7 linked regions of the Rattus norvegicus genome follow. The main gene of each other region encodes a partner of the protein of the gene in region 2 in a complex. Links are inferred from orthologs where the notes say so. Each region holds a gene or a part of one and is shown on either strand. Other genes may lie near its edges. The genes, in order: Tmem107, Tmem17, Ahi1, Mks1, Tctn1, Tmem67 and Cep290.

Region 1 (4,300 bases), on a different chromosome or scaffold from region 2:
TTCTAGAAGCTGGGCAAACAATCAGCAGCAAGGCACTTGTTGTCATAGAAATAAGGTCTGAGCAATCAGTCAGTCATATACACAATTACTAAAAGCACCTTAAAGTCATGGCTCTGACCAGTGTTAGGAGAAATTTCAGGAGCACAGGACAAAATTCCTAAATTCTATCAGTCAGTACATGCGAAATAAATATGATCGTCAGAGAATCAGATAGGAGCAATCAGGATGTTGTCAGGTCCTGATTACACGGAAATGCTAATCAGCAGATCATGCAAGCTCCAATCATCATTTTCTATCTGCCCTCCGAGAGGAGGAACAGGTAAGGATTAACCTCCTGACGATAAAGGACAAAGGGAGCCCATTCCTAATTAAGTAAAGACATTCCATATTAAAGAAAGGGTGAGAATATGACAATTTAGCACGAACCCAATGACTTATAGTTATTGCAACTCAAGAGCAATATCTATTTGCAAGTCGCCTGAAATATTTTATTTTTCCATTCGGCGCAGAAAGAGAGAAACAAAGTTCTCCCATAATGCTCCGCTCACATACAGCAAATTAGAAGCCCTATGTGAGGTTCTTATTTACATATTCCCGCCCACTCACTTCCGCCTATTTTGTACCGTAAAAATCCAAATAGAAGCATAAGCTACTAGCTCACGTACAGAAGGCTAGAAAAAAGCCTTTATTTACATCAGCCTTTTGATTTACCCAATGGTCTTCTGACAAATAGTCTAAGCCTTGCTCTTATTATAAAATGAATTTTATTACAAAACTCTAATAAAATTATAACCCAAGATTTGTGAGATCTTATCCCAACATTGCCATTTTCTGTTTAGACGCAGTTGGGAGGAGCAAAAGACTAGGGCGAGAGAAAACTGAAGCCTCTCCCTTTCTTCTTCCAGCAATGGGAGGGAGTTCATCACGTTTCCGGCTTTGGTCTCTTCATCGGATTGTGATCAGAAGGGTTTCTTTTTCAGCCCAAAGACAGCGATGAATAACGCAGTTTCAGTGACAGCTGGAAAAGCGCTGTGGAAGTAGGGGGTGGGTTTAGAGCCCCTTCCGACCCAAACACTCAAACCTCCAAGCCTTATATGTGAGTGGGTTAGCGGATGGGTACGACTCTTTAAAACTCTACCAATTTCACATGTGCAGGAAAGGTCTAGGTGGGGGAAACCTTCAGATTTGGGGTAGACTTTCCACCACCCTCCATTCCAAAATAACCTGCAGAAGGCAAAAATGTACCAGTACGTGGTACATTCCCATCGCTCGAATATGAAGAAAGATAGGGCCACAGACGCGCTACAGTGGGCTGCAATGGCTTAAAAATACAGCAGAGTCAAGGAAAATAATAGGTAAGTGATGGGTCCCTTTAGTACTCGGACTTGGGCTCAGCTTGTTCCCTTCCCTTAAGACAAACACCAGAGTTGGCAGCCATGCCTTCTGAATTTGTGGACACTTATGTGTAAGAGGCCAGAGCTGAGTTTGTTTTGATAGGACCTCTCCCTGTACACTTTTGGGAGTTAATGTCACATATGCCCTAGGCCTCACAAGAATACCTACAGGTCTGATACACTGTGGGAATTTCTCCAGTGCTCTGGTCCTCCTTGTCCACAACTCAGAGTCAACGGCTATCTTTTTTTTTTTTTTTTTTTTTTTAAAAAACAGGGTCTCTCTATGTAGCCCTGGCTGATTTGGAACTCACTATGTAGGCCAAGCTGGCTTCGAACTTAGAGATTCACCTGCTCCTGCCTCCCTAGTGCTAGGATTAAAGGTTTGCAACATCACACCCGGGTATCGAGAACCTTCCTATGTGTCTCATTTTCTTGGTCCCTTTTGAGTTCCCACAATGGTTTGTATTTTGCACACTCCTACAGAATACTGTTTAATCACACTGATTTACAGATGTTTATCCATCTCTTCCTCAAACAGGATAAAGTGGTTTTACTCCCACTCATGGATCGCCAGAACCTGGCTCACATCAGGGTTTAAGGTTTGAAGTCTATTAATTCCCCAAAACTGTCTAAAACCTCTCACCTAGAGAGATTCGCTTTGCCACGTAGGGCAGAGACTTGTGCCCAAAAGGCCTACAGAAGTGGAAAGAGTGAGTGGTGATGATGTCGCATGGGGACGCTGGCCAGGCAGAAAGGATACAGAGGAGGCTCTGGGTGCTATTAAACATGGAGACTCCTGAGAGGAAGCCAGCCAGCTCCACTGCAAAGAGGCCCAGGGTGAGGCAGAGCGCTGCTACCAGTCTGCAGAGAGAAAGGGTGATGGACCTGGGTTTCCGGATTGCGTAGAAGACCCTGGCACTCTCACCCCGCCCCAAGAGCTCACTGGTTGTCCTGCTTCTCATATTCCTCCGGGGTGAACTTGAGAGGCAGGCAAGCCTGGATGTTGCTTTCCTGGTGAGCCGGGCAGAAAGAAAGAAAGAAATGTCAAAAGAGGGATGGGGTTGCGGGGGACGGGAGCAACGGACCCAGTGTGGGTCTGTGGGAGTGGACTGAGCTGAGCTGGGTCCACTCTAAGGTGAGAATGGGAGGGACAAGAAGACACGCGCGCGCGCCCTGTCCACGTCTTACCCGGGACCAGAACAAAGTGATGACAATCACCAGATGAGCCAAGAGCGTCAGGAATCGAGAGGGCACGAGCCCGGAGATCCGACCCATGGCCTCGGGGGCCCAAAGCGGAGGCCGTAGAAGTCTGAGGAGGGTCACTCATCAAGTCTCCCAGAGCAAGCAGGCCAGACCTCTCTACTTAAGCCTCCTTCCCGCGTGCTCAGGCGCCGCCCGGTTGCCATGGTAACTGCGTCCTCAGGCGCCATGCAGCTGCCTCCGGAAGTCTCGCGATAGTGCTGCGCCCTCTGCAGATGTCTATAGGCCAGGTACCCGAGCCGATGCTCACCTCCTGGTGCTTGTGGGATGAATCCGGGAGGATGCACCCGTAACCACCAAATCCTCCCTTTTCCTGTGCTTCCCACTCACTGCCTTGGGCGCCAGGAGATGAGGGAACGAAGGAGTAGAGCTTCAGCACCGAGCTTTGCCCCACAGTCTCGCCAAGCCCTCCCCGCCCCCCCCCCACAGCCCCTGGTTGTCAGAGGGCTCCCTCTCCCACCCAAGACCAAACCTCTGCCGATGAACGACTCTAATTTCTCCCTAAATAACTTGTCTCGGTTTCATGAAAGATTTGCCGAGTGCAGAAATGAGCAACCTTGGAATGGGTAGAATAGGATGTGGGTGGATGAGGTGACAGCCTCCTCGGGATCCCAAGGGATCTGAAAAGGTGAAGAATGGAGTGGGGGACTAGAACAGCTTGTGCGCCCCTGGGAGGCTTAAACCAGGCTGATTCACCACCGATTTCACTCTCGCTTTGAGTTGCCAGGCCGCGGACATTGCTCAGTTACAGACCCAGAACCTCTTCTTAGGGTGATGTGACTGATTTGGGGCTTCGGATGAAATGCCTGCGATCGGAAAGTTCTCACTACCATCCCAGTTCACAATCAAGTCCCATTGACAATGAACCTCCTCCTTTTGCACCCCCTCTTCTCTCATTTCTCTGTGTGTGTGTGTGTGTGTGTGTGTGTGTGTGTGTGTGTGTGTGTGCCTCTAAACCAGCCTAAAAGACAAGACCCAGAGGGATTTCATTCATTCAACAAATATCTGATGTCTCCCAGATGCCAGGCACTGTGCTTGACTCAGAATACATCGATAAAGTCCCTCCAGTTTATATTCTAGGCAGAGAGACTGATAACAAAACAAACAAACAAAACAAAACAAACAAATACACACACACACACACACACACACACACACAAAACCCCAACAAAACCCTGCAAGGTAATGTATGCTGTAAATTTAAAAACTTTAAAGGGTGACACTAGAATAATATCAAAGGAAAGTTTTGAAATAGATAATTCCTAAATTTTCGTTTCAAGGAATTGGGGGGAGGGGGAGAGAGAGAGGAAATGTTTCTGTCTCCCTAAAGTAATACATGGGGTCCCCTTACCTAAACCAGTGAGTAAAAACATTTAGAATGCAGAGTCAACGTTTTTTACTTAAAGGTCATGAAAGACAGGCTGGAGTTCTTCCCACTGAGTGGGGGATAAACCTAACCTAACATGAGATCCCAAACCAGACAAAAGACACCCCCCACCCACACACACACTCACACTTTCATTATAAAAGACTGGTGGAATGTTTGACAAACAGTATAGTATTTGTAACTTAAATAACAACAACGTAGATTTTTTTAATTTTTTATTTATTATATATGAATACACTGTAGCTGTCCTCAGACACAC
Region 2 (4,107 bases):
TTGATTATGTTCCCCCACTCCGAAAGAAATCTTGCCCCTCTAGGTATTTTCCTCTCTGAACTGCATATAAGAAGTGCTGGTTAGGGCTGGAGAGATGGTTCAGTGGTCAAGAGTGCTGCTTGCACACACACACACACACACACACACACACACACACACACGTATATACAGGGAGCAGCACTATTAGGAGGCATGGCCTTGTAGGAGGAAGTGTCACTGGAGTTGGGCGTTGAGGTTTCAGACGCTCAAGCCAGGTCCACTGTCACTCTCTCTTCCTGTTGCCTGCCAATCTGGATGTAGAATTCTCAACTACTCCTCCAGCACGTCTGCCATGCTTCCTAACATGATGATAATGGACTAAACCTCTGAATCTGTAAGCCGGCTCCCATTAAATGTTTTCCTTGGTTACGTTGTATCTTCACAGCACTAGAAAGACTAAGTAAGACAGAAGACAGAGACTCTAGGAGCCAGAGTTGGGATACATTATTACATCTTTCTGGGCATTCCCCTAATCATCTCTGGAGGGATGACTCCTCACAGGCTGTTGTGAGGAACTCCACTCTTTCCATTATGCCTATCACACTTAGTGGGCACTCCACAGACAGTGCCCTTCCTTGTATACGGAGACAATGCTGTCTCAGTGTAAGCACAGATTTCACTTAACATGTCCTGTTCAGAATCGTACAAATACCAACCATGTAGAAGCAAAAAGAACTGATTTTCAAAAGCATGCTGCCATACAGGTGGCCATTTGTGACTCACACATTCTACTTACTAGACTGGTTACCCAACATCTTTTGCTTTTGTATAAAAGAAAAGGTCCGGGGATTTAGCTCAGTGGTAGAGCGTTTGCCTAGGAAGCACAAGGCCCTGGGTTCGGTCCCCAGCTCCGAAAAAAAGAAAAAAGAGAGAGAGAGAGAAAAAAAAAGAAAACAAAAGGTCCTTCAACAAGAATTTGATTATAAAAATTGAGCCCTAAAATACATTATAATTTAACTACATTCTTATTTTAAATTGGTTGTTCTAAATGTAAGAATTTAGGAAGATAATGAGAATTTCCACTGAAACTGATTTTTGTTTTTCTCTGCATAGTTTTTTTTAATTGACGGTTAATACTTTTAAAACAATCATGGGGTAGGGGACTGGAGAGATGGCTCAGTTGTTAAGAGCACTGACTGCTCTAACCAGAGGACCTGTGTTCAATTCTCAGCAACCACATGGCAGTTCACAATTGTCTGTAACACAGGTGTACATGCAGGCACACAAGCATAAAAGCCAATGCACATAAAATAAAACAAATTAATGAAAAAAAAATCATGGTCTCTAGAAGGAAACTAAGTTTTAAGAGCAAGGCTGACTATTGTGGTCTGTTTTTCTTGCTTTGATTTCTTAAACTATCCTAAATTATCCCAAATATAGGAATGACTTTTTTTCCCCCAAGGCAGGGTTTCTTTGTATAGCCCTGGCTGTCCTGGAACTTGATCTGAAGACTAGGCTGGCCTCTGCCCACTGAGTGCTGGGAGTAAATGCATAGTCAGCCTTGCTACTATCTAGGTTGTTGAGGCTCTGCACGGTAAGGCTCGCACTTTAAATCAGAAACATAAAATCCTAATTTTTTTCAGGTTTTCCCCTACATAACCTAAATTACACAAATGACCAAGGTGACAAAATGCAATGATGAGAAGTGGCTTTGTTTTCCAATACCCCCTTTAAAAAATAAAAATAAAAAAAGCCCAAATCAAGACGGATTTCCACTTTCTTGAGTTCAAAGGTGAAAATCATGTACGCTGTCGTCCTGATTGAGGAGGCAGAAACTGGGGTCAACTCGGTGGTATTTCGTTATTAGATTGAGGGAGAGAGTTTTTTATACAGGGAGAAAGGAACAGGCAGAGGAAGGCCATGTTAGCTTGGCCGCTGCCAGTGGCTGGTGAGGAACGTGCTTGCTCTGCTAGGAGTTTGGACACAGCCCGGTTTTGTGCAGGGTGGGAGCGGGAAGCCTCTTCCCCACCCTGGCCTGCGAGCGGACTGCTTTCACGTAGCGGGGACCGGCTTGTGGGAGAAGGCGTTCCTGCTATGCACTCTGCCTCCCAATCCGCTCGGCGACAGCGCCACCGGGTGCAGTAGCTGTGGCTACTGAAGCTCGTGGTCTCCCGGGTCCGCCACAGGGTCGCGGTCTCCTAACCCAGGACAGTACCCTGGCTGAAGCCGTGGCCGCCATCTTTGACCCGGGCACGGCCTATGCGGCCGCCCGCCCGCGAACCACACCTCCGCGTGGGGCCCCTTGCCACTCACCCGCGGCCTCACTGGACTCTGGCCCGGTACGGCTGGAGTCGCCGAACATGGTGAGGCTGAGGTTGCTCAAGCGCTGACGAACAGGGTCCGGCAGCTCCATGTCTGGCCTGCCCGGGCCTATCCCCTCACGTTCCCGCTAGTGGGCCAGCTCAGCGGCGCGTGGCGGTTCCCTTGGCAACAGGGCTGTGCTGGCCGCTGGGGACCTGGTTCCTGGGCTGCCCGGCGCGGAACAGAGTCCTCCAGAGCCTTCTCCGCGGAGAGGCGAGCGGGAGCCACCGGCCCGCTGCCGAATGTGGCCTAGTGCTGCTGAAAATGGAGGGTTCCTCCGTCTTGCTTTAAAGCTGCAGCGTCTTAAGATGATCACAAGTAATAAGCCATTTGGTCCTGAGCTGAGCCACAAGGAGCTCTCACACCAAGGCAGTTTTTCCGTAAAATTGGTGCGCCATTTCTAGAGGGAAATGGAAAAGAAACATAAATCTTAAAGAATGCGCTTGACCCAGTAGGTTCCTTTCTATCGGTACATAAAATCTGGAGTAAGGCCAGGGTGGATGAGACAAGCAAACCTGCTTCAGAAGACAGGAAAATAACTCAAAAGTATTGAGAGCAGTTGTTTCTGGAATATGGGTGACTTAAAAACTAAAAACATCAGCCGTTCCCTGCTCTCCCTTAAGATGTATCATTTTAGCACTCAGGCAGAGACAGGAGATCAGGCTAGCCTGGACTACATTGCAAAATCCTTAAAACCCAGAACAAACCGTAATAGCCATATAAAGAAAAGCACAATCGGATGTACCAGCACCCAAGTCAGTCAACCGTATCAGCATCTCCAGGAGCTACGTTTTCTCAGTTGCTTATGAAGCAACTTTATAGTACACTAATCGCACACTGAAGTTTAAAAAGAAAATCTGACTTTGATGTCAACATTTGTATGAATCTTCTTTTTATTTTATGATCACACCAAGTTTGTCTATGTTGATAAGTTTCTGTGTAGTTTCTACGTAGGAGCAGTTATGACAGGTGCCACTGTTGGTGAAAATGCTTGTTGGTAAGCATATGTTTATGTTGAGTATAACATACACCTTTTTGTCAAGTGTAACATTCACGTTTATGTTGAGAGTGTGCCGGAGAAGTGCTGAGTGGAGTGGTGTGTAAGACCGATTTTATTGGGATCTACGAACACATTCCCAAAGAGGTTTCATCAGACTCTCCCACCTCCAGCTATATTTGAACGTCCCTGTTATTTCATGAGTGTGGGCTTATATTCCACCCTAACCTTTTCATCTTTCTGGTGAAGGGCGGTGGGTCTGCAGATGTCTCAGCGGTTACCAACACTCACTGCTCTTGCAGAGGACCCCGGTTCATTTCCCTTTACCCACATGGTGGCTCACGTCTGTAACTCCATCAGAAACCTCGTTCCCAAAGGGAGTGAGAAAGGATTTATTCTGAGCTAACTATGAGTCCCCAAAGCGGGAAAGATAGATTCAGGTTATCCAGGTAATCTGTTCCGCCATCAAAGTGGCAATATGAATTTGTATTACTAGAGGGTGCAAGATAGCCATAAATCAATGCGTCTACTAAATCCATTAGTGAGGACACCAGGTAGGCAGGTCACAGCAAGGCAGGGACACCTTTGCCATAGGTCTCAAATGCTGTATGAGGGTATAATAGCTTTGGGTTGGTGGATTGGTGAAAGCCACAATCGGCTAACCTAACAGATTCCAAAGGTGTTTTCTGAATGGAATGATCAGATACAGAGGCAAGTGGTAAATGGATATCAAGAGGACTGAAGAGAGCCTAAGATAATTTCGTCCTTTG
Region 3 (3,500 bases), on a different chromosome or scaffold from region 2:
GGAAGTACTTACCGCGTATGTTGTTTGCAGTCAAGGAAAACTACGAGAATATAGAGAGACACATATGCCCTTGACAGCATAGTTGTGTACCGTGCAGACTGACTGGTTAACAGTAAAACTTACGGCAAGTCATATCTTTTATTTGTGTAATATGTATCATTTCTGATTCTTGCTGTTTTTAAATGATTATATGTAAACTAATTAATATCTTGAAGAAGGTTAAATGTTTGAGATTTGTCCTATGTGCATGTGAGGATTCTGTCTTCATTGTAGGCTTGACATAGGGGCTTGAATCCCCTGGTCAGAGTAAACCAAGTAGACTCTCGGTCTAGCTCCCTAGAGCTTTATAAATTATAAATATTTGCATTTTCACAAGGTCAGTGTTCCTTTTAGTTTAATATGTTTCAGAGTACATTTTATTTATTGTCTGATTATTCAGTTTTCTTCATAGTGTTACTTGAAGCCCAGGCTAGCCTCAAATGTGCACTCTTTCTGCCTCAGCCTCCTGTGTACCCAGATCACAGGCATGGCCAGCACAAGTGATTCAATAAAATGCCCTAAAAGCTAATATTTAAGCTCTATTCACATCTTCTAGCTTTTTAACCTTGAATATTTATGGCAGTCAGAAGATGACAAAACATGATAAAAATAAAAGGTTCCAAGCTGCTCTTATCTATGTCATGTAGATGAGAAAGATGTGTTCTCCACAGCCCGCGAAGCCGTCACCAAACCCCTCGTGAGACCCACACTGATCTCACTCTCCTTTGTGCTGTCTCTCCAGTTCTCACTTAATGAGCCGTGCCATTTCCTCTGCCTGGGTTCTTCAGCTGGTCACCTTGTCAGCTGGTCACCTTGTCAGCTGCCCTTTCATATAAAATAACCAGTGATCAGAATGTCACCATTGTCATATTTCAGTGAAAGACTATAATGGAGGACAATTTACTCCCTCTATTACTCTGGGAAACTCACCACTCCTCGAAATGTACTATGGATATTGTCTGGCATATTTTCTTAGCACAGCCAATCCAGTAATACTAGAACAAAGGGCATAAATTTGCTGAGATGTGACTATGGGCTTTCAGTCCTAAGTCTAATGTCATAAATTGGATCCCTTAGAACTGGAATTACAGATGGTTATGAGCCACCGTGTGGGTCTGAGAACCTAGCCTGGACCTTCTGCAAGAGCAGCCACTACATGTAACCTAGCTGTCTCTCCAGCCCTCCCTACTTGCTAATACATATTATGCTAAATAATATTTTACTAACTATTCACTGTATATTTACTCAATATCAAAAATAGTTTTAAAGTAGATTGTGTCCAAATACAAATAAGTTTTAGTTTTACAGTGTAGGTTACAGTAATAGATAAAATATATTTCATGAGAAATGGTTTTGTAAAAGAAAAGTGAAATAATCTAGTACCATCTTGTATGCAGTCGTCATAATGGTTTTTATAAATAGTAATTTACATTAGTTTACTATTGTTTAGCATTTGCTCACCTAAGATTTATTGGCTATGTTCTTATAAAAATGTGTAGAGAACACTTTGCATTTCAGGTCTGCTCCTCTCTCTCCCACTGCAGGGTTTGGAAGAATGAAATCAACAGCACAAGCACGTTCAGAGTCTTACCTCACCCTTCCTTCGTCTACACGGCTAGATTCCACCCCGCCACACGAGAGCTGGTGGTTACGGGATGCTATGACTCTATGATTCGGATATGGAAGGTGGATGCGAGGGAAGATGCCGCCATCTTAGTGCGCCAGTTGGATGTCCACAAGAGCTTCGTCAACTCCATCTGTTTTGATGATGAAGGTATATCACAGAACGTGCTCTAAATCAAGAACAGTTACCTTGATTGTTTGATCCCTCTCTCTAATAGTTGATGCCTGTGAGACATTTGCTGTATTAATAGTTGTGTATATTTAAAGTTATTTGTAGTTTCAAGTAATGGGATAGATGTGACAGTGAAAGTGTTCTCTTAGTGACTTTAAAGTTCTTTGTATTTATATTCACTTACCATCCTTTCTTCTGAAACTCCCTCCTGTGCAGCATTTCATAAATATATTTATTTGCATTGGTGATTATTATTTTTAGTAATTGCCTTTAAGAACATTTTAAGTTAGGCCGTACAAAAATGAAAGGGATGGTGACAACCTCAAAAGAGTGCGGCAAATGCACATGCTGGGTATATTGGTAGGAGCTTTAAAGACAAATACAGAAGGAAATTTGCAGATAATTAAAGGATATCAGCGTTTGAATAATATAAGAGCCATTTTAAAATAAAACATAGGTTTTTATTGGGTAAGAGAATAAAGAAATTCATCTATTAACTTGTTATTATTATATTATTTCACAGATTAGGTATGACAGCTGCAGTTATAGGTATCTACAATAATAATTTAGAGAAAAATAATAATACTGCTATGTACGCAGTTCAACTTCAGAGAATCTAACAAATTAGAACGAGTATTTTAATATATGGCAGTACTCACCATTTGAGTAAGCTCATTCGTAAACTATTAAATTCACAGTTCTAAAAGCCATGTTTGTTAGCAGTGATGTGTCATGTATTCTCACATGGCTATGGTGTTGAATGTTTCTTATACGTCCCATTCAGTTTTTAAAAACTGGTATTAACACTTGTTACTTATGGTTTTTAAATTCTCTGATTATTTCAAATTGAATAGTCACATGACTATGTTTACAATGTGTATTAGAATATGTATTTTTCGGGCTGGAGAGATGACTCAGTGGTTAGGAGCACTGACTGCCCTACCAGAGGTCCTGAGTTCAAATCCCAGCAACCACATGGTGGCTCATAACCATCTGTAATGAGATCTGACGCCCTCTTCTGGTGTCTCTGAAGACAGCTACAGTGTACTTACAGATAGTAAATAAATAAGTAAACAAATAAATAGATAAATCTTTAAAAAAAAAAGAAATAGAAAAGAATATGTATTTTTCTAGGAGTATAAATGATTGCAAGGCTAATAATAAGAGCTACAGATACACACTGTGTACCTCAAGTACTTTGGAATAGGAGTGTGTGGGTGCGAGACGCGCAGACTCTGGATAACTAACGTTACCCAGCATGCTTTTTAAACATGAAGGACTTATGAAAGATAATTGGCATGTAGTGCGCATTCTATTTTTACCTTTTAAATAGAAAAACCCTTCATTGACAGTTCAGTGCTTTGACTGTGTGTCTAAGTCGTGGCTTCCCTCAACTTCATACCATTTTCTTTATGACGTCCGTGACCCTCTTGAGTGAGTAGCTTGCTGTTTTTAACAGGTCACCACATGTACTCAGGAGACTGCATCGGCGTCATCGCTGTGTGGGACACTTATGTCAAAGTGACTGATGTGCAGCACTCTGTGCGCCACTGGACAATAAACAAGGTACAGAACCACACCTCTTCACTTCTGCTGACCACAGTTGGGAGCCACTGATCCAGTCTCGTCTTCCGAGAGGGGACTGGTGTCACCTCATCTTCCTCAC
Region 4 (3,946 bases), on a different chromosome or scaffold from region 2:
TGGGCACACATGCCAAAGTGTGGAGGTCAGACGACAACTCTGTGAAATAAGCTTTCTCCTTCTAAGGATCAAACTCAGGTCATCATGCTTAGTGACAAAGGTCTTCACCCACTGACCCATTTCTACAGCTCTTGATTGATTTTTTTTAATTGTTTGTTCTTCTTTTGTTTTGTTCTGTTTAAAATGAGGTCTTAGACTTGAAGTCCTTTTATTTATGCCTCCAGTGCTGGCAATCCAAACATAAACCCCCTCCCCTGGATATTCTCAGCTTAAAAAAAATCAGATTGACTTGCTTTTCCATCTCCATGGTTTCAGTCTATAGAAATCATTCTTTAGTTGGAAATTGTATTTTCTTTTCTTTTTTTTTTTTTTTTTTTTTTTGGAGCTGGGGACCGAACCCAGGGCCTTGCGCTTCCTAGGTAAGCGCTCTACCACTGAGCTAAATCCCCAACCCCGGAAATTGTATTTTCTTAAGGATGTGGATGGGAGACAGTAAGTCAGTGGAAGGTTTGAGGCCACAAAAACCAAACCAGGCTGGAATCTGTTTTTACCACCTCGGCACTCATTAAGAAGCCCCTTAATTTACTCCTGGCCTTCGGTAACTTCATCCTTTAAATTGCAATAAAGTATCTCTTGGAGAGGTTTTGGGGAGGGTTACAGTCAATATAAACTGCGTGAGGTCCCATTGGGTATGTGCTATTTGTGGTGAGTTCTTAGTGTACACAATGAGTAGCTAATGCGCCCAGGACTTCTCTGCCCTATAATCAAATGGCCATGAAATGTCTCAGTCCAGGCAACAACTGCTTGTTCAGCTGAATGGGCAGCAACTGTCAAATACTTATTACCAATATTGATATTGCCAAACAGCCGGAATTAAGTTTATACTATCTTTCCTTTGATGCTCCAGTGAACCATGACTTCTGAATGTCACTTTGGTTTTTCAGGGGCTGGCTTGGAATCTTAACTGCTTAATAATCCAGAACAGACATGCCACGGGGAAAACACCCTTTCCTTCCTTTCTGCTGGATTCCTTGTTTTTACTGCTGGCTTCCTTGTTTTTTCTTTCTCTGGCTCAGTGCGTACCCACAAAACTACTGATATACCTGCCCTACAGGTTTCTTTGTGGTTTTTTTCTTCAAAGAATATGTTTTATTTTCGTAGCATGTCCTTTCAACCATACTCACCAATTGTTTAAGCCTGAGTTTTCTTTCTTTAAAAAAGTTTTTTTATTTATTTCATGCATAATGGTGTTTTGGCTGAACATAATACGTCTGCGCACAGTATGTCCACTGTAAGGCGACAAGGTGTCTGACCCCTCTGGAACCGGAGTTACAGACAGGTGTGAGTGGCCATTTGAGCACGCTGGTTCCTCTGGAAGTCTAGTCACTAACCTCTTCACCACTAAGCCATTTCTACACGCCCCCTAGGCCAAAGTTTTCAAATGTTCAGTGGAAGGCAGTGTTTGGTCAGAAAGCAAGAACTCTGGTCACCTGGTTCTGGCCGCCATCACCATTTTTGCACCTAAATAAAGTAGCTGATGGCGGTTTCCTCATTTGTGCAGTGCATTAGCTCTCACACAGGACAAGCAAGGCTGCAGACGTCACACATGCTCACTTGCTGAGGGTCCCTTGCTTCTACATTAAGGACTGGCTGCCGCAGGCGTGGAGAGCTGCGTGCGCAGAGCCTCCCTTGTCTAAGAAGCCAGCGTCTCCGTTGCCAGGGGAACGGGGCGCGCTTTCCGGCGCGGTCGCCGCGCGAAGCAGCTGTCATGGCGGAAGCCGTCTGGAGCACTGACACCGGCGAGGCCGTGTATCGCTCCCGGGACCCCGTGCGCAACCTGCGCCTCCGGTAGTCACTCCACCCCAGCTCCAGGGTCCCCTTACTCTAAGCTCCAGGGCCCCCTAACTTTATTCCACCCTTAAGCTTTTGGATGCTCAGAGGCCCCTACTTCCGCTTACAATCCCAACTACTTCCTCTGCCATTTCTGTGCGCGTTCTGGTTCAGGATCTTTTCCCACTGAAAGCTTACAAACACACCTTCCAGACTCACCCCTGTTCAAGTCCATTCAAGTTCTCGCCACTTTCAAAGCCCTCAGACCCTTCTGTCCTGCCTCACTGACTTATCCATCAGACGCCCCTACCCACCTCTTCTCTAGCTGCCGCCTTGGCACCTCTGCCTCTGTGATTTCTTTCTCCCATCCTTACTGCGTGTATCTCCTTGCTGTGTGTCTTTGACACGCACATTTGGGACTTCTCTTCTCTTGACAGAGTTCATCTGCAAAGAATCACATCAAGCAACTTCCTTCATTACCAGCCTGCTGCCCAGATGGGGAAGGACCTCATAGACTTGGCCACTTTTAAGCCTCCTCAAGCTGCTAGTGGGTGTTTGTGGAATAGAATAGAATCATTTGAGAACTGAGGCAAGGGTGCGGGGCAGTAGGGTACCGAGGAGGAACAGAAAGCTCAGAGAGGTTGAGTTTGCTGCCCAGTGTCACATAGCTGGGGAATATGGAAGCGTTTGAACCTGGGCAATCGTTTCGTTTTTTTTTGTTTTGTTTTGTTTTGTTTTTTTTGTTTTGTTTTTTTTTGTTGTGGTTTTTTTTTGTTTTGTTTTGTTTTTTTTTTTTACATTGTACTTTACATTTGTGTGTCTGCAAGCCCATGCCACAGTGCAAGAGTGAAGTTCAGGGGATAACCTTTGCGAACCAGTTCAGTTCTCTCTCTGTACCTGATGCGTCCTGGGACTTGAGCCATCTTACTCATCCTAGTTGTGACTTTGACCGGGATTGGGGGCCGTTGGGGGGTCGGTAGGGAGACTGGGGTGGGGGGGGGAATGGGGGAAAGGGCTTCTAAGAGAAATATGGTCCAAACTCCAAATGTATGTGTAAATACACTTACAAACAATTTTAAAAATAGGAGTTTGCATGAAAAATGTGATTTCTTGTTCTTTGCCTTCAAAGCCAAAAGAAAGGACAAGAGTCTCATGTTGGGCCAGTAATCTTTAGTGCTTTTGTTATTTCTCGTTCTACTCAGAAATATTCTTAGGCATTCTTTGTGTGGATCACAAAGGTTGTGTCTTGAGAAAGATGCACAGAACTAGGAGTGTATTAAATATAGTTCTTAAAAAAATTTATTTGCCTTCCCTCCCTCTCCTGATGGTCTCCTGAGTTAATGTTTATGGATGATTTGGTAGGTGGCTTCAGAAAAACATCAGGATGTTTATCTAGCCAATTCAGCAAATGCAGGCAGGATTGAGGAAGGGCTGACTCTTCAGCCTCTAACTAAATTTCAGTTCCTTGTACTGGACAAGATTATATTTCCTGGAAGGCAGAGTTACCTTTTATTCAAATTAGAGTAATGATTAGGACACCTCAGATCCTAATCTCTCTTCTGGCATTAACCAAAGTGTGTCCAGCATGTGCGTTCTTTGTCTAGAGTGAGTGCTTAGTGAGTCACTGAATTCCAGTGGGGTTCGTGGTCGTTGTGAATCAGGACTTTGAAGCCAGACCTGGTGGTATACACATGTAATGTCAGTATTTTTCTGGCTGAGGCAGGAGGATCTGGAATTTGAGGTCAGATTGGGTTGCAGAACGAGACACTTCCAAACAACAATAACAAAAATTTTAAGACCCAAATGAAACAAATATAGGAACACTGGTTATAACCAACCACCGAGGAAGAAGTGTGGCTGGTCTGATTCATTCTGTTGTGTTTGGAGGTGGACACCGCCCTGATGAAGAAGAGGAGGAAGAAGTTATAATTGGGTGGCAGGAGAAGCTGTTTAGCCAGGTGAGCCAGCATGACTTGTCCTCAGTCTGCCTCCACCTACCTGTCTCGTACCTGGCCACTGACTCATACTGTCAAACTGATTTCCAGAAAGGGTTGTGGTGGCTTATACTTTCTCCCGTTATGTTTACGTAGCCATTGTAATGTAACGGCTACCACTG
Region 5 (4,274 bases), on a different chromosome or scaffold from region 2:
AAGAAATAACAGGCGCTGGAGAGATAGCTCAGTGGTTAAGAGCACTGACTGCTCTTCCAGAGGTCCTGAGTTCAAATCCCAACAACCACATGGTGGCTCACAACCATCTGTAGTGGGATCTGACGCCCTCTTCTGGTATGTCTGAAGACAGCTACGGTGTACTCACATACATTAAATGACTAAATAAATAAATCTATGAAAAAGAGAAATCCATTTGTTACTCTGGTTCCAGAGGATCTCATGCCCTCTTCTGGTCTCTGCAGGTACCTACCAGGCACATATATGGCATCATTCAGGTATCTACAGAGGCAAAACACCCCTTATAAATCTCAAAAACCAGAACATACAACAACGAGGACGACCAGTACCAGAGCCTGGAAGTAAACTGAATGCATGGCTCTGACTGCCGTGAGGGGGAGGAAGTAATAAATTTGGGGCTTTGATAATCTTGGTTGTTTTGCTCTTTGTTTTCTGAAACAGAGGCTCATTTGGATCGGATCTCCTAACCTCCCACCTCTCAGCAGAAGATGAAGGATCACAGTTGTGACCCACCACGGTTCTCCCTTTCCCCAGCTAAAATGTCACTGAATCTTTGGGGGTTTTTTTGTTTTGTTTTGTTTTTTTGGTTTTTTTGTTTGTTTGTTTGTTTGTTTGTTTTGTTTTTTTGAGATGGATTCTCTGTGTAGCCTTGGCTGTCCTGAAACTTACTTTGGAGGTCAGGCTGGCTTGAACTCAGAGATCCACCTGCCTCTGTACCACCCACCTTACCCCAGGATAAAGGTGTGTACAACCACCACCACCACCACCTGACTTGATTTTCTTTTTAAGAATTATTTATTTTGGGGTTGGGGATTTGGCTCAGTGGCAGAGCGCTTGCCTAGGAAGTGCAAGGCCGTGGGTTAGGTCCCCAGCTCCGAAAAAAAAGAACCAAAAAAAAAAAAAAAAGAATTATTTATTTTGTTTATATGAGTACACTGCAGCTGTCTTTAGACACACCAGAAGAGGGCATCAGATCCCATTATAGATGGTTGTGAGCCACCCTGTGGTTGCTGGGAATTGAATCAAGACCTCTGGAAGAGCAGTCAGTGTTCTTAACCACTGAGCCATCTCTCCAGCTCCCTGATTCTTAACTGTAATGTTTTGTTTCCTAGGGGGAGTGGGAGAGGCAACAATCTCAGGCTTAAAGAACTTTAGCTAATAGGACATCATGGCATTGTTTCTATGAATGAATGATTTAAAAAAAAAATAAAAACAACCTCTAGAGATGGGAGGCATGATGGGAGGCATGATGGGAGGCCCACACCTGGGAATCTCAGCAACAGGGAAGCAGTCAGGATAGTCAGAAAGGTATCAGGTTATATATAGGCCAGTCTGGGTCACTTAGCAAAACTGTCAGGAACAAAGTTAAGAAAAAAGGAGAAAGCAGGAGACTAGAATATTTCTACAGGAGGCTGGAGAGATAGCTCAGGAGTTTTTAAAAAAGCACATATTGCTTCTGTCCCCAGCACCCAAGTCAGGCAGCTTACAAACCAACTCCAGCTCCCGGGGCTCTGAGGCCCTTTTATGTTCTCCAAGGTCACCAATATATATCCAGCCACCCAAGTGCTCACCTATACAAATATACACACATAATTAAATATGTGTGTATGTGTGTGTGTGTTATATATTTATATATATATATATATATATTTTTTTTTTTTTAAGAAAAATTCTCCCCCAAAATGGTATAATGTGCTTTGGAAAGACACAAAAGGAAAAGGAAGTTTATTGATAAATGCAAAATGTTTCTTAGTCCGAAAGGCAAATGTGCTCCTTCTAGATGAGGTCCTCTCTAGCCATGGACAACTGGGCATGCTCGCTAAAATAACGCCACAATCCCTTAACTGGCACGGAAAGCAGAAAGAGAGCAATTAGGCCCACTGCCTCATGTGTTTAAAATTACAACCACGAATTATTGGAAAAGCTTCAGAAGGTAAGAAGATGAGGGTAAAGCTGGCATGTTTAATAACTCCACTGAGCTCTCAAGTCATCTAAACAGCATTCGTATGCTCACGTCCGTGTGTCTGCATGGAAAGGACTAAGATCTACTTAGCACCCTTTCTTCTACCAGTACTGCCTACAACTCATTCTGAAGGTTTCTATCTAGAACTCCACTCCAGAGTCACTTTCTGCATCAACACTCCAGCTGTTTGAAATTATGTGGGAAAGGGAGTAACTTAGCTCCGCTCTCCGCGTTTGTGTGCTGGAGATCCCGTCTCCCTCTCAGGGAACGACAGGGAGGCTGAGAAAGGTGGAACTTTGAGAAGGGTTATCATTTTCCGTACGTTCTTACTGGTCTACTCGCTCCAGGGAGTTAGCACTTTGTACCCACCGTCCGTGACCGGGGTGGGCCTGGGGCCAGAGAGCTCCGGTGGCCTGGGAGTTCCCGGGGTCCTAGGAGACCAGGAGGGTCTGAGAGTGGCGGGGGTGGCCTCGGTGAAGTTGAGATCCTCATTCGTCACCACCGGGGTGGCCTCGGTGAAGTTGAGATCCTCATTCGTCACCACCGGGGTGGCCTCGGTGAAGTTGAGATCCTCATTCGTCACCACCGGGGTGGCCTCGGTGAAGTTGAGATCCTCATTCGTCACCACCGGGGTGGCCGCAGCCGGGGTGGCAACGACCTGGGTGCTCGAAGAGGTGCAGCAGTTTAGGAGCACCAGCAGGAGCGGCGGAAGACACCGCGACCCCATGGACTAGCATACTATCCCGCGCCAGAGAGCTAGGCCTGTCTGTTGCCGGGCAACAGTCACAGCCGAGCGCTAGGCACCACGGGAAAGGGCTCGCGAGGCCACGCTAGTCTGCGGAGAAAGGTGGGGCCTGAAGCCAGACCAGCGGGGATTGGGTTAAGGCCCGCCGATCACGAAAGGGGCGGGAACTGGGCAGGGCTATGGGCGGGACCTGATTGGCGTCGGAGGGGCGGGGCCGGGACCGTGGGGGCGGGGTCTGAGACTGCTCTTTCTAAGGAGCCCTCTGAAAACCGGAATCTGTAAACTAATGTGTCATGGTTAGAAGTGCATGTTTAGAGGCGACTGGAGTCCTTTAAGACATATTGCCACCATCCTTGAATTTCTTACCCCATGTTACTTACTGACTTTACTTTCTTTGCCTTTAGATACAACGCAGGAGGTCGCCAGACCACTTCTATCCACGTATTTATGATAAGAGAAACAAAAGAATTCTTAACTTTTTGGTTCTTTTAGACAGGATCTCTCTGTGTCCGCCTGACTAATCTCGAACTCAAGGAAGTCCTATATCAGTGCCTCATGCAGACATGCACCACGGAATCCAACCTCCATTTCTGCTGTTATGTCATTCGGAATGTTCTCGTGTGTTCGTTGGTTGGTTGGGGAAGATGGGGGAGGAGTTTGAGACAGAGTTTCTATAGCCCTGGCTGTCCGAGATCGCACTCTGTGGACCAGGCTTCCTTGAACTCAGAGAACCGCCTGCTTCTGCCTCCCAAGTCTGTCTGTCTTCCTTCCTTTCTTTCTTTAGGTTTATTTGTGTATTTTTTGTATATGGGTGTTATGTCCGTATGCACACCAGAAGAGGGCATCACATCTCATGAGACTACAGTCATAGACAGTCATGAGCTGCCGTATGGGTGCTGGGAATTGAACCCAGGACCTCTGAAAGAGCAGCCAGAACTCTTAACCCTCCAACCCCTCCTCAAGTCTTACAGTCCCATGCTTCGAACCATTCTGCGAAAAGTTCAGTTCTCAAAGTCGTCTTATCTAATCTCAAGCCCTGATGGCCCCAATGTAAAAGTCAAGGTGTAGACTGCATCTGCTCATACGTTTTTGGAATCCTTAGGGACCCTGGGGACTCATTTGTTAGGTTTTTTTTTTTTTCCCCATCATAGGTCAATGAGTCCATCTAGGGGCTAGAGAGATGACTCAGCCATTAGGCACACTTGCTGCTTGCAGAGGACCAGGGTTCAGTTCTCGGCACTGAATATATAAAAATAACCGATATAGTCACCTATGCTGGGGTTTCTTCCCAGTCAACGTCTTTATTGGCAACAAGTGTCATCCATTTACTGGGTGGTAGAATTTGGTTTGGTTTTGGTTTTCAGCGGTTTTTAATGAGTGCCGCTCTACAGGTTCACTATACACTTTAAGTGGACTTGTGTTTCCATTTCTCTCAGAGCTCCTTCCTAGGAGTGCATTCTATGGTCATGTGTGTTTGTAAGTTTATAAGAAATGGCCTGACCTTTCTCTAGAGCGACTCCCCAGTTT
Region 6 (3,500 bases), on a different chromosome or scaffold from region 2:
GAAATAGTATTTCTACTATATCTTATATTTTACAAGCTATAAAAATAAATCTTTCTGTAGATAAAAAAAGGAAGAATAATATGTATTACGAGTTTTACAAAAGATAGCCTGACATCACGGCTTGGCCCCATTATACTGAGTCCTCAGGTTTTGCATCACAGATTAGATCAGAAATCTTTCATCCACTAGTGTTTTGGTTGCTAAATTCTTTTGTCCTACTGTATTTCGGATAAATCGAAAAATCTAGAAAAGCAAAACAATTAAGAAGAAAATTAAATATGCAAATCAATTTAAAGTACCTAAATTAAACTAGCTAATTTTCCCAACCACTTCATATCATGAATGAGATACTTTAATTACTAGATATATTTATTTTAAAATATACATATTAGGAAATGTTTTTATGAATTATATACATACTTCTCATGCTTGCAAGAATATACTTTTAAATACTTAAGGAATTTAACTCCTAAAACTATGGAAAGATCAAAAACATCTCCCTGGTAAGGGAAGAATTTGCTATGATTCTAAATCCAGGAATAATACACCATGTAGAAACTCATTTATCCTTCGTGAGAGAGGGTGTTTGGGTGCTACCAATAACGGCATTTCCAGCACAGCTGCCATTTCTTGAAATGGTCCCCACAGTGAGACGTGTGCAATCGAGTACAGCCCTGAACCACATGCCCAGTGTTTGCTCCTTGTGTGTGAATGGGACTTAGGGAAATTCGTGCTCACTTTTGGTATGTGGGAGACGGGTGGTATGTAAGTATCTTCCTAGGCATTAAAGCCACTTTCCTTCCACTGGATCCTTGAACATTTATGGTCCCCAGGGGCAGAGTGCGGTGTGGTCTGCTGAATGGTTCTTTCCTTTGGCGGTGTTAATCATAATCTAAACATTCACCAAGCCTACTCAAAGTGGATGCTCTCACATTCTGTTGAGAAAATACATACCCTCACTTCTAACATGGCTGCTTTAGGAGAAACCAGAACACGCTGTTACTTACCTCTTGCTGCAGGTAGGTGAGGAAGGATGCTAAAACAAAGTTCTGGCAAGCCAAGTCCACGACACAGAAGAACAACAGATCAAAGATAAGGAGAGTGGCCTCGTTCCCATAATACAGCACACTGCTGAAAGAATGACTTTCATCTAGGAAAGCCATGGAAGATGTGTCAGTCAGTGACAGAGAAGATCCGTGCTACCCCCCGGCCACAGCAGATTAAACATGAGGTACATCTTGGCTCACACTAAAGTAGAAGGTGCTTCAGACTGCCAGTCTAAAATGGTAGTCAGGGCACGCAGAAACACCCACAAGCAGGAGTTTCAACATCAAAGCAAATGTTGATAATTGCTACAGAGTGCGTATGCTACGAACACCTTTAAGGAGCAGTTACTGAATCCTCGTCCTCTGCTTATAGAGCTAACAGCTAAACTAATCTTAGAGATAGTGTCCAAGAAAAGAATAAAAGATAAGAATCTAAGTCACAGTGCGAGCATGGGCTTCCTGTGTCAGTTTCCTACAGTTTGGTCCTCTGCCTCAACACACAATTCTGTCCTTTTGGGGATTTGAACACCTTCTTAAAAGACCTGAGAAGTTTCCTGTCACCATGGAAAGTAAACAAGCACAAAACCCGAATGTTCGCCTCCTCTTCCTCCCCAGAGCTGCTCTGCTATGTTCCTTAATGACACCTCTTCCTGTCTCGTTACCTTCATACTGGGTCAGTTCACACACTTCAGAATCCATCTGACTAGGCTGACCTAATCAAGTCCCCATCGTTTCTATATGAAATCATAAAGATCAATGGAAGAATGACTGCCAGCACCCCGTCTCCCCCAAACAGGCCTCAAGCTCAGCAAGGACACGAGGGTCACCATTGTAGAAGATGCTCTTCTCCAGGGGCTCCATGAACTCCATCCCGAGGATCTTTTCGAGAAGCAACTTGTCTTTTATGAAGTAATCCATTTCCTTATGAACCTAGTTTGCGAAGACAGTCATGTAAAAAACTGTAGTGAAGTCAATGCTTTCTAATTAATGAAAAATTAGAACTACAAAAGCTGAGAACACATAACATACAAAGAAAAACTTGTATAAAACGAATCACTATGCTAGAATTTAAACTAATAAATATTAATTTTAAATATTAAAAATTATTTTAGAAATATTTTAAATCTTGAATTCTTAAATTTAAGACTGAAAATCTTTAAGATTTTAGTTTAATTTAAAATTAAGATCTGAAAATTGATTTATAAGATGCTTTTTAAAAATACAATCATAGTGTAAGGATTTCAATGTGAGATAACATTTTGGCGACATACAATTCTAGTATAGTATAAAGTTCTACAATAGAATTTTATGGGACATATAAAAGGGAGTCATAATTTGCTAATGGTCACATTAAAATCACATTTTTCTTTTAGATAATCTAACTTTATGTAATCTAACTTTATGTTTAAACCATAAGTTGTTAGTGGCTGCAAATGCTTTTTAAAAAAATATTCCTATGTGTTAGGATGACAGAAAAGCATGGGTTCACTGACACGGCTGAGTGAAAATATAACTGAATTCTCATTTAACTTTTCAAAGCCAGCAGACCACCCTGGCTACAGACAGACAGACATCCAAACACATACGTGGTCAATGAAAGAGCCGAGGAACTTATTCATTGCGTGGTATGCCTTTATACTTTGTTCCAAGGTACTCCCTGATGAGCTCAGCAGTCTGGCAGGGCCATTTCTCTAATATGCAGGAGAGAAACGTGTAAGCACAGCACGCCTGATGCGGGACTTAAATGACCTAAGGATGGTGAAATACGCGTGAGCAATACTTTACAGACCCTTGTTAATGTCTCGTGAATTCTGTCATAGTGCTGTCTCATCTGACTGGAAACGGCAATCTGAAACGTCTGCCCATCTGTGTTGGGCACCAAACCTCTTTGACTGCACAAATTTTCCTAAAAAACAAAAAATTTAAGGGTTTAAATTAAGATAGAAATGATTGCAAAAGGCCTTTTAAAAAAAGAAAGTTCTTCAGCTTGTTCACGTTACAAGATTTATTAATCTAATGGAATCTTGCTGATACTGGACTTGAGACGAACACTAGTGTTTCTCACTGTGGTCACAGTTTCCCACAGATCTGTGGTCTCAGTCACTTCACTCTCATTCCAGCTTCCCCGTCGTCGCGGTGTCACCTCCTGTACTCTGCTCTAAACCACTGAGCTCACTGTACAGTTTGTACCTTAGTTTTCACCGCGAGGACCTTACCTTCTTTAACGTTTGTAAGACTGAACAGTGGAAGTATGGATACCTTCTCACAGACTATACACGACGAACACGAACTCACTGTTGCAGTAGCTCAGTGCCCAGCCAGTTCCCACTGACGGCTCACGGCCCGTCAGATTCTGCCTCCGTGACTCCTTCTCAGAACTTACTACTCTCTCTCGCCTGATCCCACCCAGCGAGCAGGACAGCCTTTGGTTTCCACAAATGTAAAGGAAGATAT
Region 7 (3,500 bases), on a different chromosome or scaffold from region 2:
AACCCACACACCTATGGTCACTTGATTTTTGACAAAGGAGCCAAAACCATCCAATGGAAAAAAGATAGCATTTTCAGCAAATGGTGCTGGTTCAACTGGAGGGCAACATGTAGAAGAATGCAGATCGATCCATGCTTATCATCCTATACAAAGCTTAAGTCCAAGTGGATCAAGGACCTCCACATCAAACCTGATACACTCAAACTAATAGAAGAAAAACTAGGGCAGCATCTCTAACACATGGGCACTGGATAAAATTTCCTAAACAAAACACCAATGGCTTATGCTCTAAGATCAAGAATCGACAAATGGGATCTCATAAAACTGCAAAGCTTCTGTAAGGCAAAGGACACTGTGGTTAGGACAAAACGGCAACCAACAGATTGGGAAAAGATCTTTACCGATCCTAGAACAGATAGAGGCCTTATATCGAAAATATACAAAGAACTCAAGAAGTTAGACCGCAGGGAGACAAATAACCCTATTACAAAATGGGGTTCAGAGCTAAACAAAGAATTCACAGCTGAGGAATGCCGAATGGCTGAGAAACACCTAAAGAAATGTTCAACATCTTTAGTCATAAGGGAAATGCAAATCAAAACAACCCTGAGATTTCACCTTACACCAGTGAGAATGGCTAAGATCAAAAACTCAGGTGACAGCAAATGCTGGCGAGGATGTGGAGAAAGAGGAACAGTCCTCCATTGTTGGTGGGATTGCAGACTGGTACAACCATTCTGGAAATCAGTCTGGAGGTTCCTCAGAAAATTGGACATTGAACTTCCTGAGGACCCAGCTATACTTCTCTTGGGCATATGCCCAAAAGATGCCCCAACATATAACAAAGACACGTGCTCCACTATGTTTATAGCAGCCTTATTTATAATAGCCAGAAGCTGGAAAGAACCCAGGTGCCCTTCAACAGAGGAATGGATACAGAAAATGTGGTACATCTACACAATGGAATATTACTCAGCTATCAAAAACAATGACTTTATGAAATTCCTAGGCAAATGGTTGGAACTGGAAAATATCATCCTGAGTAAGGTAACCCAATCACAGAGAAACACACATGGTATGCACTCATTGATAAGTGGCTATTAGCCCAAATGCTTGAATTACCCTAGATGCCTAGAACACATGAAACTCAAGACGGATGATCAAAACGTGAATGCTTCACTCCTTCTTTAAAAGGGGAACAAGAATACCCTTGGCAGGGAATAGAGAGGCAAAGATTAAAACAGACACAGAAGGAACACCCATTCAGAGCCTGCCCCACATGTGGCCCATACATATACAACCACCCAATTAGACAAGATGGATGAAGCAAAAGAAGTGCAGGCCGACAGGAGCCGGATGTAGATCTCTCCTGAGAGACACAGCCAGAATACAACAAATACAGAGGCGAATGCCAGCAGCAAACTACTGAACTGAGAACAGGACCCTCGTTGAAGGAATCAGAGAAAGGACTGGAAAGCTTGAAGGGGCTCGAGACCCCATATGAACAACAATGCCAAGCAACCAGAGCTTCCAGGGACTAAGCCACTACCTAAAGACTATACATGGACTGACCCTGGACTCTGACCTCATAGGTAGCAATGAATATTTTAGTAAGAGCACCAGTGGAAGGGGAAGCCCTTGGTCCTGCTAAGACTGAACCCCCAGTGAACGTGCTTGTTTGGGGGAGGGCAGTAATGGGGGGAGGATGGGGAGGGGAACACCCATATAGGAGGGGAGGGGGAGAGGTTAGGGGGATGTTGGCCTGGAAACCGGGAAAGGGAATAACATTCGAAATGTAAATAAATACTCCATTAATAAAAAATAAATAAAATAAAATACGTGTCCATAAAATTCATGAACTGGGTGGGGAAAGCGTAGCATCTTCTAAACCATTTACCAAGTCTGAGATAAATAAAAAACACAGCAAAACTACGATTTCCTATTAAATCTATTGACCAACTTTTCACAGAAAGCCTCTGAAGCCACATTCTGTCATCTCTCTTCCTTTTTACCACCATATCACCCCAGTCCTCTAAAGTGTTCAAAACTGCCTGAGCAACATGAAAAACCAACGGAAATGAGAAATAATGAGGCTAAGATGTCTTTTCCTTCTTAGAGATACTTGCAGACCTCCATACATAAATCAACTGCACTATATCTGCATTTTAAAATAGCATTAGCACAGAGCAGAGCCATGTGAAAGAATTTCTAAGCAACCACATTAGAAACCACATTCTTTTCTTTCAACAGTGCTTAGTGCCTTTTTCGGACCTCCAGATTTCTAGCCCTTTTCCTTGGTGGCCATGAGGCACTTACCTTTTGCTGCTTCTCTTTCAAAGCTAGCTGGCTCTTTAGCCTGTCTACTAGATTCCTCATTGTGGTTGTTGGTGCCCTGGAGTTTGCTTCTTTCTGAGCCTGGAGTTCAGACTTTAAATTCTGGGAGTCCTTCTGTGCTTGGGCTAGAGCATGCCTTAAGTCCTCTACCTCTGCTTTCACTTTCTTTACTTCGTTGGCATGAGTTTCTTGGAGCCTGAGATAAACAATCACATGTATTGACCAGACTGGGTATTGCAAGCAATATCTTGATTTAAAAAAACAAAGCAAATCAAAACAAAATGACGTTGGAAAGCCACAACCACAGACTATGGTTATGTCTATACGCCATATGTGGTAAAAGACTATACACGCAAGTTACTTCAGAAGATTACTACTTCCTTCATTTAGGAATTAGATCTGAAAGCCTAGGTACTCTTCAGTAAGGCACAGTGGTCCATGCCTATGATTTCAGGATTGAGTCAGCTAAGGCAGATTACAGTGAGTCCGAAAGCTTACACTGCCCAGTGAGCTCTAACTAGGACAGCCTGGCCCAGGGTGAGATGTGGCTCAAAAGAGAAATGAAAACAGATTATAAAAAACATAAATTTGCAGTCCAGTACATGGCATAAGATTAGTATACAAAAAAATATAAACTCTCCTGTATATTCAACAGACTGCGAGAATCAAGACCAAAGCAGCATCACACAGGATCTTCAAAAGAAAGACTCTCAAGTGGCAGCTACTTACATATTCACAAACATGTGCTACGGTATCTCAGGTCCAAGAGTAAACAGTCAAAGTTCTAATGGGCCATCAGAAAGGGATAGAATCCTAAGTGGGCCAACATTCCACTGAACTGAAGCCAGGAAGATGATCTATGATTAGAAACTGAACCATTTCATACCAATTTTATGTTTAAAAAAAGCTGACTGATGCTAATAGTCTTTAATATATAATATGTTGTGAACACTCTGTCACTACAGTTCCTTAAAAGCAAATTTAACAAACATTTATTAAGCCTGGTTTTTATCACATATTCTCAGGTTTAAACAAAAGGTATTTATATGTGAATTTGTAATTTTCAAGTCACTTCTGTACCGGGGAACTTCACTTGGCAGGAGTCCAAGTAAATATTGCCATTTTCATTTACAAAGGATGAAGTAGACAGTGGAAGTAGTTAAAAT

Evidence for each region.
Region 1: Tmem17 (region 2) and Tmem107 share a complex: the UniProt entries of both Homo sapiens proteins name them as parts of the tectonic-like complex. The link is inferred for Rattus norvegicus from reciprocal best matches to the Homo sapiens genes TMEM17 and TMEM107.
Region 3: Tmem17 (region 2) and Ahi1 share a complex: the UniProt entries of both Homo sapiens proteins name them as parts of the tectonic-like complex. The link is inferred for Rattus norvegicus from reciprocal best matches to the Homo sapiens genes TMEM17 and AHI1.
Region 4: Tmem17 (region 2) and Mks1 share a complex: the UniProt entries of both Homo sapiens proteins name them as parts of the tectonic-like complex. The link is inferred for Rattus norvegicus from reciprocal best matches to the Homo sapiens genes TMEM17 and MKS1.
Region 5: Tmem17 (region 2) and Tctn1 share a complex: the UniProt entries of both Homo sapiens proteins name them as parts of the tectonic-like complex. The link is inferred for Rattus norvegicus from reciprocal best matches to the Homo sapiens genes TMEM17 and TCTN1.
Region 6: Tmem17 (region 2) and Tmem67 share a complex: the UniProt entries of both Homo sapiens proteins name them as parts of the tectonic-like complex. The link is inferred for Rattus norvegicus from reciprocal best matches to the Homo sapiens genes TMEM17 and TMEM67.
Region 7: Tmem17 (region 2) and Cep290 share a complex: the UniProt entries of both Homo sapiens proteins name them as parts of the tectonic-like complex. The link is inferred for Rattus norvegicus from reciprocal best matches to the Homo sapiens genes TMEM17 and CEP290.

What each region holds. Positions count from the first base shown.
Region 1 is NC_086028.1:54,269,696-54,273,995, reverse strand, and holds Tmem107 (transmembrane protein 107), read right to left. Parts: upstream 2,801-4,300; 5' UTR 2,670-2,800; coding exon 2,583-2,669; intron 2,406-2,582; coding exon 2,338-2,405; intron 2,280-2,337; coding exon of another isoform or gene 2,256-2,279; coding exon 2,155-2,255; coding exon of another isoform or gene 2,038-2,154; intron 1,322-2,037; coding exon 1,225-1,321; coding exon of another isoform or gene 1,030-1,224; coding exon 960-1,029; 3' UTR 476-959; downstream 1-475. UniProt on the Homo sapiens protein: Plays a role in cilia formation and embryonic patterning. Requires for normal Sonic hedgehog (Shh) signaling in the neural tube and acts in combination with GLI2 and GLI3 to pattern ventral and intermediate neuronal cell types.
Region 2 is NC_086032.1:100,718,365-100,722,471, reverse strand, and holds the start of Tmem17 (transmembrane protein 17), read right to left. Parts: upstream 2,801-4,107; 5' UTR 2,393-2,800; coding exon 2,293-2,392; intron 896-2,292; exon of another isoform or gene 821-895; intron 1-820. UniProt on the Homo sapiens protein: Transmembrane component of the tectonic-like complex, a complex localized at the transition zone of primary cilia and acting as a barrier that prevents diffusion of transmembrane proteins between the cilia and plasma membranes.
Region 3 is NC_086019.1:17,602,531-17,606,030, forward strand, and holds part of Ahi1 (jouberin), read left to right. Parts: intron 1-1,583; coding exon 1,584-1,813; intron 1,814-3,293; coding exon 3,294-3,400; intron 3,401-3,500. UniProt on the Homo sapiens protein: Involved in vesicle trafficking and required for ciliogenesis, formation of primary non-motile cilium, and recruitment of RAB8A to the basal body of primary cilium.
Region 4 is NC_086028.1:73,151,453-73,155,398, forward strand, and holds the start of Mks1 (tectonic-like complex member MKS1), read left to right. Parts: upstream 1-1,146; 5' UTR 1,147-1,768; coding exon 1,769-1,848; intron 1,849-2,267; coding exon 2,268-2,377; intron 2,378-3,717; coding exon 3,718-3,788; intron 3,789-3,946. UniProt on the Homo sapiens protein: Component of the tectonic-like complex, a complex localized at the transition zone of primary cilia and acting as a barrier that prevents diffusion of transmembrane proteins between the cilia and plasma membranes.
Region 5 is NC_086030.1:39,969,120-39,973,393, reverse strand, and holds the start of Tctn1 (tectonic-1 precursor), read right to left. Parts: upstream 2,801-4,274; 5' UTR 2,730-2,800; coding exon 2,372-2,729; intron 1-2,371. UniProt on the Homo sapiens protein: Component of the tectonic-like complex, a complex localized at the transition zone of primary cilia and acting as a barrier that prevents diffusion of transmembrane proteins between the cilia and plasma membranes.
Region 6 is NC_086023.1:30,334,667-30,338,166, forward strand, and holds part of Tmem67 (meckelin precursor), read right to left. Parts: intron 2,953-3,500; coding exon 2,836-2,952; intron 2,738-2,835; coding exon 2,633-2,737; intron 1,977-2,632; coding exon 1,874-1,976; intron 1,151-1,873; coding exon 1,008-1,150; intron 244-1,007; coding exon 163-243; 3' UTR 1-162. UniProt on the Homo sapiens protein: Required for ciliary structure and function. Part of the tectonic-like complex which is required for tissue-specific ciliogenesis and may regulate ciliary membrane composition.
Region 7 is NC_086025.1:37,252,283-37,255,782, reverse strand, and holds part of Cep290 (centrosomal protein of 290 kDa), read right to left. Parts: intron 2,531-3,500; coding exon 2,317-2,530; intron 1-2,316. UniProt on the Homo sapiens protein: Involved in early and late steps in cilia formation. Its association with CCP110 is required for inhibition of primary cilia formation by CCP110.